3 linked regions of the Oryzias latipes genome follow. The protein of the gene in region 3 binds, or shares a complex with, the protein of the main gene of each other region. Links are inferred from orthologs where the notes say so. Each region holds a gene or a part of one and is shown on either strand. Other genes may lie near its edges.

Region 1 (3,655 bases), on a different chromosome or scaffold from region 3:
GTGGGCATGATGTGTGTGTGTGCAGATGTGGGAAGCAGAGGCAACAAAAGACAGCTATTTGTTTGCCAAGTCAGAACATGAGCACACAAACTCATGTAACTCAGTTCCATCTCCACACAAAAGAAATTTCTTTATTGTATATTTTGTTGTTGAATATTGTGTTTCTGATTGTTTGAAAAGATTTTCATGGTCATCCTAGTTCACAGCTTTTAATGTGGAATATGATGGCTAAAACTGCTTTACTGGCTATTTATACACGCTTCCTTTTAAATTTATTTGTGTAACTTTTTTCTAACTCTTCTGATCCTTCAGTTTAGCGTATTAAGGTCTTTAGTTGTGGTTACTCGCTGCTACATGTGTGTTTGTGATCACATACACATGACAAAACAGGAGAGAAGAGACGTGGTTTCTGTCTATGTCAGATCAGCTGGGAGCACAAATGCTACCGCAGCAGCTTGTTAGGATGTGTGTTGTTTCTGAGTGTGCGGAAAAGACAAGAGCTGGAGAAAGCTCGTGCTTTTCACAGTCAAGTCAAACTTGTGCTCAGTAAAAGCCACAAAAGTCTGATCCTAAACTAAAGTCTGTGTTTATTCTTTAGATTTCTAGATTACTTTAAAGCTCTGTTTTAACATTTAAAAACTTAAAAACAAAGACATCTTTTCATTCTTGATTTAGGTGTTTATGTCTGAGTTGACAGAAAGCAACAGGCATGCGCATTTCTTTTGGTTGAGAGGATGCAGAAAGCTGTGAATGACGAGGACAATGAATGAAAAGCAAGCATAAAAGGAGCATCACAAAGCCTATAATAACACTGAGTGGGAGAAACGCAGGGAGGGAAAGACAGGAATGGATGGAGGCAGGGTTGGCAGGCGTCGGCGCAGACACACTCCTTGACCACTGTAAGGAAAGGGGCGTAGGCCAGGTCTCCCATCAATTACAACCTTGACCCTCCTCTTCTCTCCTCTCACACACTTTCTGCTTCATTCACCCCCCCACCCCTCCCCTGCCTCTTATCCTCCCCTGGCCCCTCTCCTCTGCTCCTATAAATCAATCTCTTTTTCCCCCCCACTTCTTCCCTCCTTTCGCCAAGCCTGCTCCCACCTTCCCCCTCTAGTCTTGCTGCTACCAACCCTCCTCTTCATCCCTTGGCACTCCTTTACTTCCTTTCGTTGCTGGAAGTGCAGGAGGAGCAGAAAGGTCAGGCGGGAGGGACAAAGAAGTAAGAAGCAACGAGGGACTGTAAAATGAGAGTAAATTTATTCAAAGTGGTTGGAGGGAGAGCACAACTTCTTCTCATGTTAGAAACAGCTTTTGTTTACAGCTATGTGCCTGTTATTGCGCCTTCCTCTGATCTTTTTTTTATTCACATGCATTTAACTTATCTGTTTGGGGTAAAACATGATGATAACGAAAGTGTTGTTATATGAAGAAACTCCATTTTATATACATCCAGAGTATAAATGTGAACATGAGCAGGAATGTAACACATAGATGTGCCCAGTGGAGAAACTCTTACTTATTTCTTAAGTATGTTACATGTAGCCTTGTTTCACACACGTTTGTTGCAGTCAGCCCCTTTTAACACTGCAATAGCCCAAAATAAATCACATTGAAAAATGTTAGGTCAGTTTGTATGTTATAACACATTTACATGACCTCATCTTTTAATGTTTGCATTAAAGTAAGGACAAACTTTTAAAGAATTTCCTGTTATTAGGACATTTGGTCTTAATATCTGTTTTCCAAATTAGCAGGTTTGCACTTCAAATCAAGGGTGCTAACGTTCTGAGACTGGCAGTGGTGTATACTACAGAGAGTGCACCCTGAACCGCTATCATATCTCATATTTTGATTTACTTTAAAGAAAACCGTACTGCAAGAAAGCAGGACGAGAAGAACCTGGGCTTGTTTGCTGTCAGATTGGGTTTAAGCGCTAGCCTTTACAATGCTACATGTATCACAGTTATCAGAGAAATGTAAGGAAGAGACCTTTTCCCTTACCCTCCCTCAGCATGCCAACGGTCAGACACTTCATGAAGCGGCAAGCCTGGCATGACTTGCGTCTCCTCTTGGTTATCTCACACTCGTTGGTGGCTGGACAGCTGTACTCGATGTTGCCTGCAGTACATAGATATGCGGGAAGAAGCCAAAGACAGGTTTAACTTCCGATAAAGTCCTCAACAGACACAATACAAACACAGAGCATGGATTATTGGGAAAAATAAAAAGTTTGTTTTAATACTTATAATTGCTAGGTGTTTGTGTATTATTTTTTCTTTTAATATTAGCGTTTAAATCAAACCCTTTCACCATTTACTACAAAGACCCCTGCTTTCCCCCTCTTTTGCCCCTTGATGATAATTAGACATGGATATTTTGCACCCAACAGAAATACACTATTTTTTGCTTTTTTTTAGAACTAATTTTATATCGTGATATATTTTGATACCAATATAGTTTCTTATACCCATGCCAACCTGACAGCAGAGACCCAACAAGCCAATACATCTCCCAGTGAAACCGAGTAAACAGTGATTGCTATTGACTGCTGCTGTGGAGAGGATGTTTTCTCATTACTGGACTGATTAAAGAGCTAGTTAGCTTGGGAAAAAAGGCTAAATGCTCCAACACTTCTTAATGGGTAACAAGACACACATCAATTGCCCTTGTTGGTTAAAGTAAAGGCTAAACCTTCTAAATACTGCAGGAACAAAACATTCTAATGGATGCTACTAATGAGACTAGTTATCTCACAACTAGCCTTTACAAGCCGATGGTACAGGAGGAGTAGATTAATCCTGCAGATAGGAGAGGCACTTTCTTTAACACTCAGCCTAAATGTGCTAATGACAGAATTCACAAGGCTTAATGGGCAATCAGTAAAAAGCCGTGTTATTTAAAAGGAGCTAAAAAGCCCAATTTAAAGGCAGTGAAGAGCCACTGCGAGAGCTGGTGCTTCGAAGACTCTGCAGAAAAAGCATCTATGACCAGATTGATAAGCTGGTCTGTGAAACAGTAAAACATCAATTGTATTTGTTCATTGTATTAATATTGAAAATGTTGGCTAAATAGCAGTTAATGGTACTCTTAACTCAAGTGCAACTTGTGTGAATACCTTGTTGGGTTAATTTGAATTACGGCCTGCTGCACAGTGTTATATGCAGACAATCATCACTCTAAATGCTCAGAAACAGCACAAATACAAACGTATGGATAGAAAAGGAATCAAGAAGCCAAATCTTTAAATTGAAATTAATCCCTCCCTGTATCATATATTAATGTATGTTTGCCTGCTGCATTGCAGATAACCACTACTGTACAGACATCCTTTTTTTCTGCATTTTCTTTCATTTTTATCTTTTTTTATTGCACCATCATAGAAGAAGAAAAAGTTTTTTTTGTTTCACTGCCCTACACCTCTGTGCCATATTTTGGCCTCCTCCACTTTCCCCTTTATCCCTCCTTCTCAATAAGGGAGTGATGGATGCAAGTTGTCAGGTGTCGTTGGACTGACGCCACAGAAACAGCAGCTGCCAGACCCACTTCCTCCACTTTGTGACACACACACGCAAAAACACTCTAACACACACCTGCCTCTAATTCCTTTCTAGATTCATGTGCCCAGTCCACCTCTCCCACTTCAAGCTTCTTTTTT
Region 2 (3,655 bases), on a different chromosome or scaffold from region 3:
CTGTCTCCCGTAATTGATTTAACTAAAAGCCTCAATAGTGACCTCATTTTGGCTTGCGTAACACCACCGAACTGCCAAAAGTGACTCGTCTGGGAGGCAAAACTCAGTAAAAGCATTGCCTCTTCTGCTTAAGACGCTCCCATGTGCTGTCAGCATGCCGCTCTTTTTCATCTCTTCCCCTTCGTCTCCCCTCCCTGTGCGCCTCTCTCCCAATAAAGATCAAGAGTGAGTGTTTTTCTTTGCTCTTGCTCATCCGACGCCCCTTCTCTCTGTCCTTTGCTGTGGCAGGCTGTGACGACTTGATCAGCTCCGTCTTCGAGTTTGGGAAAAACTTGTGTTCTATGCACCTGTCTGAGGATGAGATCGCCCTGTTCTCTGCCTTTGTGTTGATGTCTGCTGGTAGGTGTCAGTCACACACACATACACTCCATACAACAATTCCATACTGCTGCCCTTCATGCATATCCCAACTAAAACCTCATACCACTGGTTCGGAAATTAGTGTCAGTTTCATTGGAATGATAGTTGTGACGATGTCCCCCCTCCAGACCGGTCCTGGCTCCAGGAAAAAGTGAAGGTGGAAAAACTCCAGCAGAAGATTCAGCTGGCCCTCCAGCATGTTTTGCAGAAGAACCACAGAGAGGATGGTATACTTACAAAGGTGAAATGCATTCAACACTTATGTATTATCCCTGAAACTGCATGTCTGCTAAGTTGAAGTAACTCTCACAGTGACACTGTTTTGGATCTTCATCTAAAAGCCAAAAAACACCTTCACTGCAAAAACTGAAATTTAAAGACCCACTCCAATGAAAATTGTCTTTCTGGTGTTTTTTACCTGTTCTTGTGGCATTTTTCTGATGATGGAAAACATATATAAAGAAAATTAAGCTTAAAATTGGATTTCTGAATATGTCTATATTCAAATAGTTGTGAATTAGGAGCAGATGTAAGTGTGCCGTTGTAAAAAGCTTGTAGGTGTGACGTAGTACCTACAACCGCAGTCCACAAGCTCCCAGCTCCACCCCATTCTGATGCATCCACTTGCAGATGACTAGATCCACAAACGTCTTGATTTTGTTTCCTAAACTGAGCTGTCATCCAGCTCAAAACTGCACGGCTGGATAGCTCCACTACTGCTCGTCAGTTTTCTTGCACTAGTAATATTTGGTTGGGATCGTAAGGGGCTGTAACCTAGGAGGAGCATATGTAAACAAAGGGATGATGGGAAATGACTACCGGTACTGGCGCTCTGCAGAAACTATGTCCTAGAAAACAAGTTTTTTTTGGCTAGAAAAAGCATAATCATAATTAATAGACCACTAATAACTATTTTACAATAGCTCAAAAGGTGATCAGAGTGGGACTTTGAGAAACTAAAAAGTTGTTTCAGGAAAATTGGCCTACTCTTATCAAGAAAGCGGGACTTTCACAAAGTCACAGGAAAAATGGCAATTTATCAATTGCATCGGCTCTTTAATAAAAAAAATAAAAAGCGTCAGATTTTCCTTGTGCCTCAGCAGTTGTCTCAATATTTACAAGTCTGTTTTACCCCTGTGTGGGACAAAAAACACTGTAGGGAGGACTGTTTTTCACTGCCATTGCTCCATGTCCTCGCCTCCCCGAGAATCTAAACAACCTGTCTCCTCTCTCTCCACAGTTGATATGCAAAGTGTCGACACTGCGAGCGCTGTGCAGTAGGCATACAGAGAAGCTCACAGCTTTCAAAGCAATATACCCAGACATTGTGCGTGCCCACTTCCCCCCCTTATACAAGGAGCTGTTTGGATCAGACTTTGAGCAGTCCATGCCCGTTGACGGGTAGCAGCCCTGCCGGGTGCCAGCGTGCCCATCGTAGGGGAATGTGGCGGAGGAATCTGAGACACTTTACTGGTGCCCTGCACAAACCGGAGTGGACACATGGCACGCTGTTCAACTTGTTCTTTTACATCTGAAGAGGCATGGGGGGTGCGTTGGGGGGTTGATTGTCAAGGTTTACTTTATTAAATTAAGTTGTCTTTGGAATGGCATGCAGGACCCGACACCCCACGGGACACGATAAGGAGATAGGAAGATCTGTTCGGCTGAACTTGACTCTCTTCTGCGCTTTTTAAATCTCACACTTCATTTAGTCTGAAAATTCACCGCCAGAGAAGTGACCTGCGCACATGTAGAGTTAAGAGGATCTTTTTAGACCACATCAGTATTCTTCTCCAGGTTGCACTCCGCTCGCCGCTTTAGGGTTTTCACCATCAGAATCACGTTCTCGTACAGATAAATAACTGACAAAGGCGCACATTTCGGTCAAGTTCAGCCACTCCTGTCTTTGTGTTCTGTCGCATCTTTTTTGGATGCAGTGCTTGGAACGAAAACCCACAGCGACTTTCAGGGAGGTTTCCTCTGGCATGGTGACGCAATCGGGGCCTCTCTACGGACAATCGTTTAAAAAGAAGTAAAAGAGAAAAGAAATCTAGAATTCTGGTAATTCTAATGAAAACACAAGAATTTTAGTTGTCAAGGATTTCATCCACCATTGTTGCATAGTGAAATCATGTAAGGCCATCTGCTATTAATCTCTCTTTGGACAGGTGCCCCCTGAGAAGCACCAACACAACAAAAAGGGTCCATTCCACCTGTTTTATAATGTACTACAGGGTATATGGTCATAAGTACTTACTATACAGAAAAAAAATGTTTATAGAATCTATTTTAAATAACATGTATGATATTAGTAGTTAGACCATTCTTAATTGTTGAATTGATAAGGCACTTTTATTTACACCTTTCTTTAATTTAAGACTTGTATATTTACCTAGTGATGTGTTGCATGTGCACAAGAAATACAAGTTGAAACACGGTCACAGGGGTTAGTCCCGGGAGCTGCAGATGATTAGGATCTGGAAGTGTTCGGGAATTCTGTTAGGACGGCTGGGTGGTGATCAAAGAGGCACGGATGAGAAGGCAAGCTTAAGACACTCGCTAGTTTCTTTTTGTTTGGTTTCCTTGGATCTTTTTTGTTGAAAACACTGTGCTAACTTCCAAAAAACATAAATATGATTCTCCCTCTGATGATAAAATAATACTATACCTTTAATTAGTGTAAAGTAAAAAAAAAAATTACCTAAATTTGACAAAAAACATTTTTTATCGTAGCCTATATGTTTGATGCATATTGACTTTTGCTGTATTTAATTTATAAATTGTTCCCTTTTGCTCAAATTTGGGGAAATCGTTTTTAAATGATCAAACTATTAAATTACAACAAAAATCTATGCGGTCAGACTGAAATAATAAAAAATAAAAACACTCACTATGATCCAACTCTGCCCCCTAGTGGAGGACAGACGTTCTTTTATTTCAAGCACATTTGATTGTTTTTGTTTCTTTCTTCCTTTGTTTTCTAAGAGTGACTTTCAGCTTTCTCGCCCAGCCGTGCCTTTAACAGGACACAGACGAAACAGCGAAGGGAGAGTGAATATTCAAAGCCTTGTCTGGTTGTAAAAGCTTCTATTTTTGTAACTTGTTTTGGTTAACAAACTCATGAAAGAGAGATTGAGGGAGAGAAGAAGATGTCAGGTAGCACTTACCTATATCCCTGCAATAATTAGACTCGCTGTTGTTTGTATGATTAGGGGAGAAACCTAAAAACGGTAGG
Region 3 (3,054 bases):
CAAAATGCATTAAAAAAGGTGACCAATAGAATGACAGAGTAACAGCTGTTTATTTCTCAGTAGAAATCTATTGGATTTTGGTTTCTTGGAGCCAACAGGTACTTCCTGCTTGGAGCGCCGGGGGGGTCACTCAGTCAAGTTTTCTCATACAGTCAATGGTCCAGACGTTAAAAATAAATGTAACCAGGAGTATTCTAGAAGAAAAGAACCGTTCTCCCCTCATGTCCCCCACCAGCCAACTCTTTTCTCACACATTGACTTCATTATCAGCAGGTTTTCTCAGACTTCCTGTATTGGGATTATTATTGTTGTGGGAGAAAAATCATCTCCTTAAAACCCTGCGTTCCCCGTTTCAGTGTTTGTTTCCACTTCAGGAAGCCATCAAGTAACCATTTCAGCTGCAGAGAAATACATTTAGAGCACTTTCAGATCAAAATGTCAGTATAAAACATTATTATGATCAATCAATGGTTCTTTACAATCAAACAAACTGAAAAAAAATGGACACATTCATACTAAGTCATGCATTTTAGAACTTTATTTCTGCGATATCAGTGCAAATGAACACCAAAAAAAGAAAACATAAAAAACAAAATAATGCTTCAGCTTTTCACATGAAAAAAAGAAACATTTTTTTTATTATATTTATATATTTGCTGCTACAAATGCAATTCTGAGATGCACAATGCAGATCTATGATTGTACGTCAGTCCCTCACTACAGCCCCATGCTCGTTCCCAGAGCTTTGTTAACCAGTAACAGAAAGGAAAATCACCAAAATATTCAATGCACGTTTAATTTTCATCAACTTGCTCAAGAGTCTGTGGTTACCCGGGGACCGCTCATCTTCAAAGCAAACCTCTCGCTCACTCTGAGATGAAGAAAAAGGACCTATTTTAAGACTTGACATTTCCCCCGTCACCAGTAGGGATACACAGGTAGTTCCCATGCGTCTGCATGCAACAGGCAGCAGTGAGGAGAGTGGGACATTATTACACAACACAGCGCAGGATAGATTATCGTTTACCACACAGAGACACATGCAAAGAACAAACCAACCAAAAGAACATGGGCACATCATCCTCTGCCTTTGTATGTACACATGTACGCATATAATTCATATTTACACATCAGGGCATTAAAAACTAGGGTAATATCTTTTTTTTTAAACATTACAAAATAGTCATCTTTCATAATGAAAGTACTATTTACACAAATATATTTAACCATCGTGAAAATGTATTAATCATAGAAGAGACAGCTATATGTATTAAAAAGATCACAAGACTGAATGGAGAAAGCAGTGAAATCAACTGAGAGGAATACAGTACGATGTAAACTGAAGAGCTAGAAACAGACAATCCTTCCAGACAGTAATCTGTCAGGAAGAGCTGTACTCTGGGCTGGGGGGGGGGGGGGGGGGGGGGGGGGGGTCCAGCTTTAAAAACAAAGAAGTACATGTGGACTTCTCTTTATTATCATGCGATTCTTTTGACATTTAATGAACAAGATATTGCCACAGGAAGAAAAAAAGATGCCCATAAACCACAGCAATTAAGAGATAATGTGAAAAAAAAAATCACAAACTGTCAAATTCTCAACAGATAACAATACTGACACAGTTTCATTACATGTCTATAAATCCCTGTCAGAGGACAGCGAGGACTCAGCTTCAAAAGTGCAAACTTCAGGCAGTCTCTTTCACCGTCAACACCAGAGGGGAGGCCTGTGTGCTTCACACTCTTACATGTGTGCATGAAAAAAAGTAGTGTGGGTTTTTCCAGGATGGTAAGATAAGTTGGTGAACCAGTGCAACCTTTAGCTGTTGCTCTAGAAACCTGTTTGTATGCAGTTGTTCAACTGCACAAACTCTGATGACCCATCTGCTCAGAGAGGCGCAGTCTGCAAACACGCTGCCTCCAATCTGCACCGTCGAATGTTGGCCCAAAGGGTGCAACTCTAATGGAACCAAAACACGCTGACCCACCTGCGGTGAGTTACTCTTTTACCGCTGTGATCATAGCACGTCCTGACAGAGCCAGCAGACTCCTCTCTGAAGATCCCACAGCTCTCATTTCACCACCAGAATCCCCCTTCAAACGCATCACTGTTGTAGGAGACCCCTGTGCCCTCCAGGCGACAGCTTTATTAACAATCCTTTTGGAAATTTACGGGACCATCTGAATAAGTTGCAACAGAGAAAATAAATAAACTCTAAATTGAGCGGGTTTTTTGGAATCAATGATAAACATTGCTTGAAATGTTATTTGCAAATGAAGAGAGGCAAAAAAAAATGACAATAGCTTGCTATGAGCTCAGTTCAGGTAAAGTGGAAAAAAAGGATTATGGGATACTTCAAGGAACAAATGAAGACCAAAATAGTGGGGGGAAAACAATCAGACTGTAATTTTGGTTACATAGGTTTAGCACTTTGCTAATACAGACCACTACTGTACCATTCAAAAAACCTCACCATCTTGAAAAAAGCAACACAAACAGCTTTTCTTTTTATAACTTTCAATTTTCAGAACAAAAAGAAAATCACTCGCATGTTCTTATCAAACCAGTTTGGCAAAATTCATTCAAAATGATGGGGAAAGAAAAGGGTTAATGAACTAGAATCAACATCTGCAGCAGAGAACACCTACTGGGAGGACTGACTCAACCCCGGGCTCTCATGGCTGTGCTTCTCTTCTTTGTGGGCTGGAGACTGTGGAGCCGAGCTCAGACTGTGTTCGTAGGCATGCATGTCACTGATCGGCTCTTCTTTGACTCGGACCACAGATGGTGCTTCCTCTGCTTGATCCCTTGCTTCCTTCCTCAGCTGAATGCTGCCCCTTTGTAGCATGTAATACAGGATGGGGTTGGAACGCGAGAGCCGTGGAGAGTCTGGGTTTGAGTCACAACAGTCCTCCTCCTGCTCTTCGTTCTCCTGACTATTCCACCGAACAGGGCTCTCCGGTTCCTGTTTCACTAGAGTTGGGGCGTCCCGCTTTTGAGCTGCAGGCCATGGAGCGGAGTGGCGACTCCATGGAGGGCGGAGGGGGCTTTCAC

Evidence for each region.
Region 1: the proteins of nrip1 (region 3) and estrogen-related receptor gamma type 1 are in contact, whole or in part, in a crystal structure (PDB 2GPP), measured with the Homo sapiens proteins. The link is inferred for Oryzias latipes from reciprocal best matches to the Homo sapiens genes NRIP1 and ESRRG. Residues at the interface, in NP_001426204.1 of Homo sapiens: Ser378, Leu379, Leu380, Leu381, Leu383, Leu384, Lys385, Ser386, Gln387; in NP_001429.2 of Homo sapiens: Val277, Ile280, Lys284, Phe289, Leu294, Gln297, Met298, Leu301, Gln302, Lys448, Leu449, Glu452, Met453.
Region 2: the proteins of nrip1 (region 3) and rora are in contact, whole or in part, in a crystal structure (PDB 4S15), measured with the Homo sapiens proteins. The link is inferred for Oryzias latipes from reciprocal best matches to the Homo sapiens genes NRIP1 and RORA. Residues at the interface, in NP_001426204.1 of Homo sapiens: Thr499, Leu500, Leu501, Gln502, Leu504, Leu505, His507; in NP_599023.1 of Homo sapiens: Gln332, Val335, Lys339, Phe344, Met345, Gln349, Gln352, Ile353, Leu356, Pro505, Leu506, Glu509, Leu510.

Annotation. Positions count from the first base shown.
Region 1 is NC_019861.2:25,281,653-25,285,307, forward strand, and holds part of estrogen-related receptor gamma type 1, read right to left. Parts: intron 2,119-3,655; coding exon 2,002-2,118; coding exon of another isoform or gene 1,990-2,001; intron 1-1,989. UniProt on the Homo sapiens protein: Orphan receptor that acts as a transcription activator in the absence of bound ligand. Binds specifically to an estrogen response element and activates reporter genes controlled by estrogen response elements.
Region 2 is NC_019864.2:17,182,048-17,185,702, reverse strand, and holds part of rora (nuclear receptor ROR-alpha), read left to right. Parts: intron 1-288; coding exon 289-399; intron 400-548; coding exon 549-661; intron 662-1,660; coding exon 1,661-1,825; 3' UTR 1,826-3,655. UniProt on the Homo sapiens protein: Nuclear receptor that binds DNA as a monomer to ROR response elements (RORE) containing a single core motif half-site 5'-AGGTCA-3' preceded by a short A-T-rich sequence.
Region 3 is NC_019872.2:2,660,501-2,663,554, reverse strand, and holds the end of nrip1 (nuclear receptor-interacting protein 1), read right to left. Parts: coding exon 2,645-3,054; 3' UTR 521-2,644; downstream 1-520. UniProt on the Homo sapiens protein: Modulates transcriptional activation by steroid receptors such as NR3C1, NR3C2 and ESR1. Also modulates transcriptional repression by nuclear hormone receptors.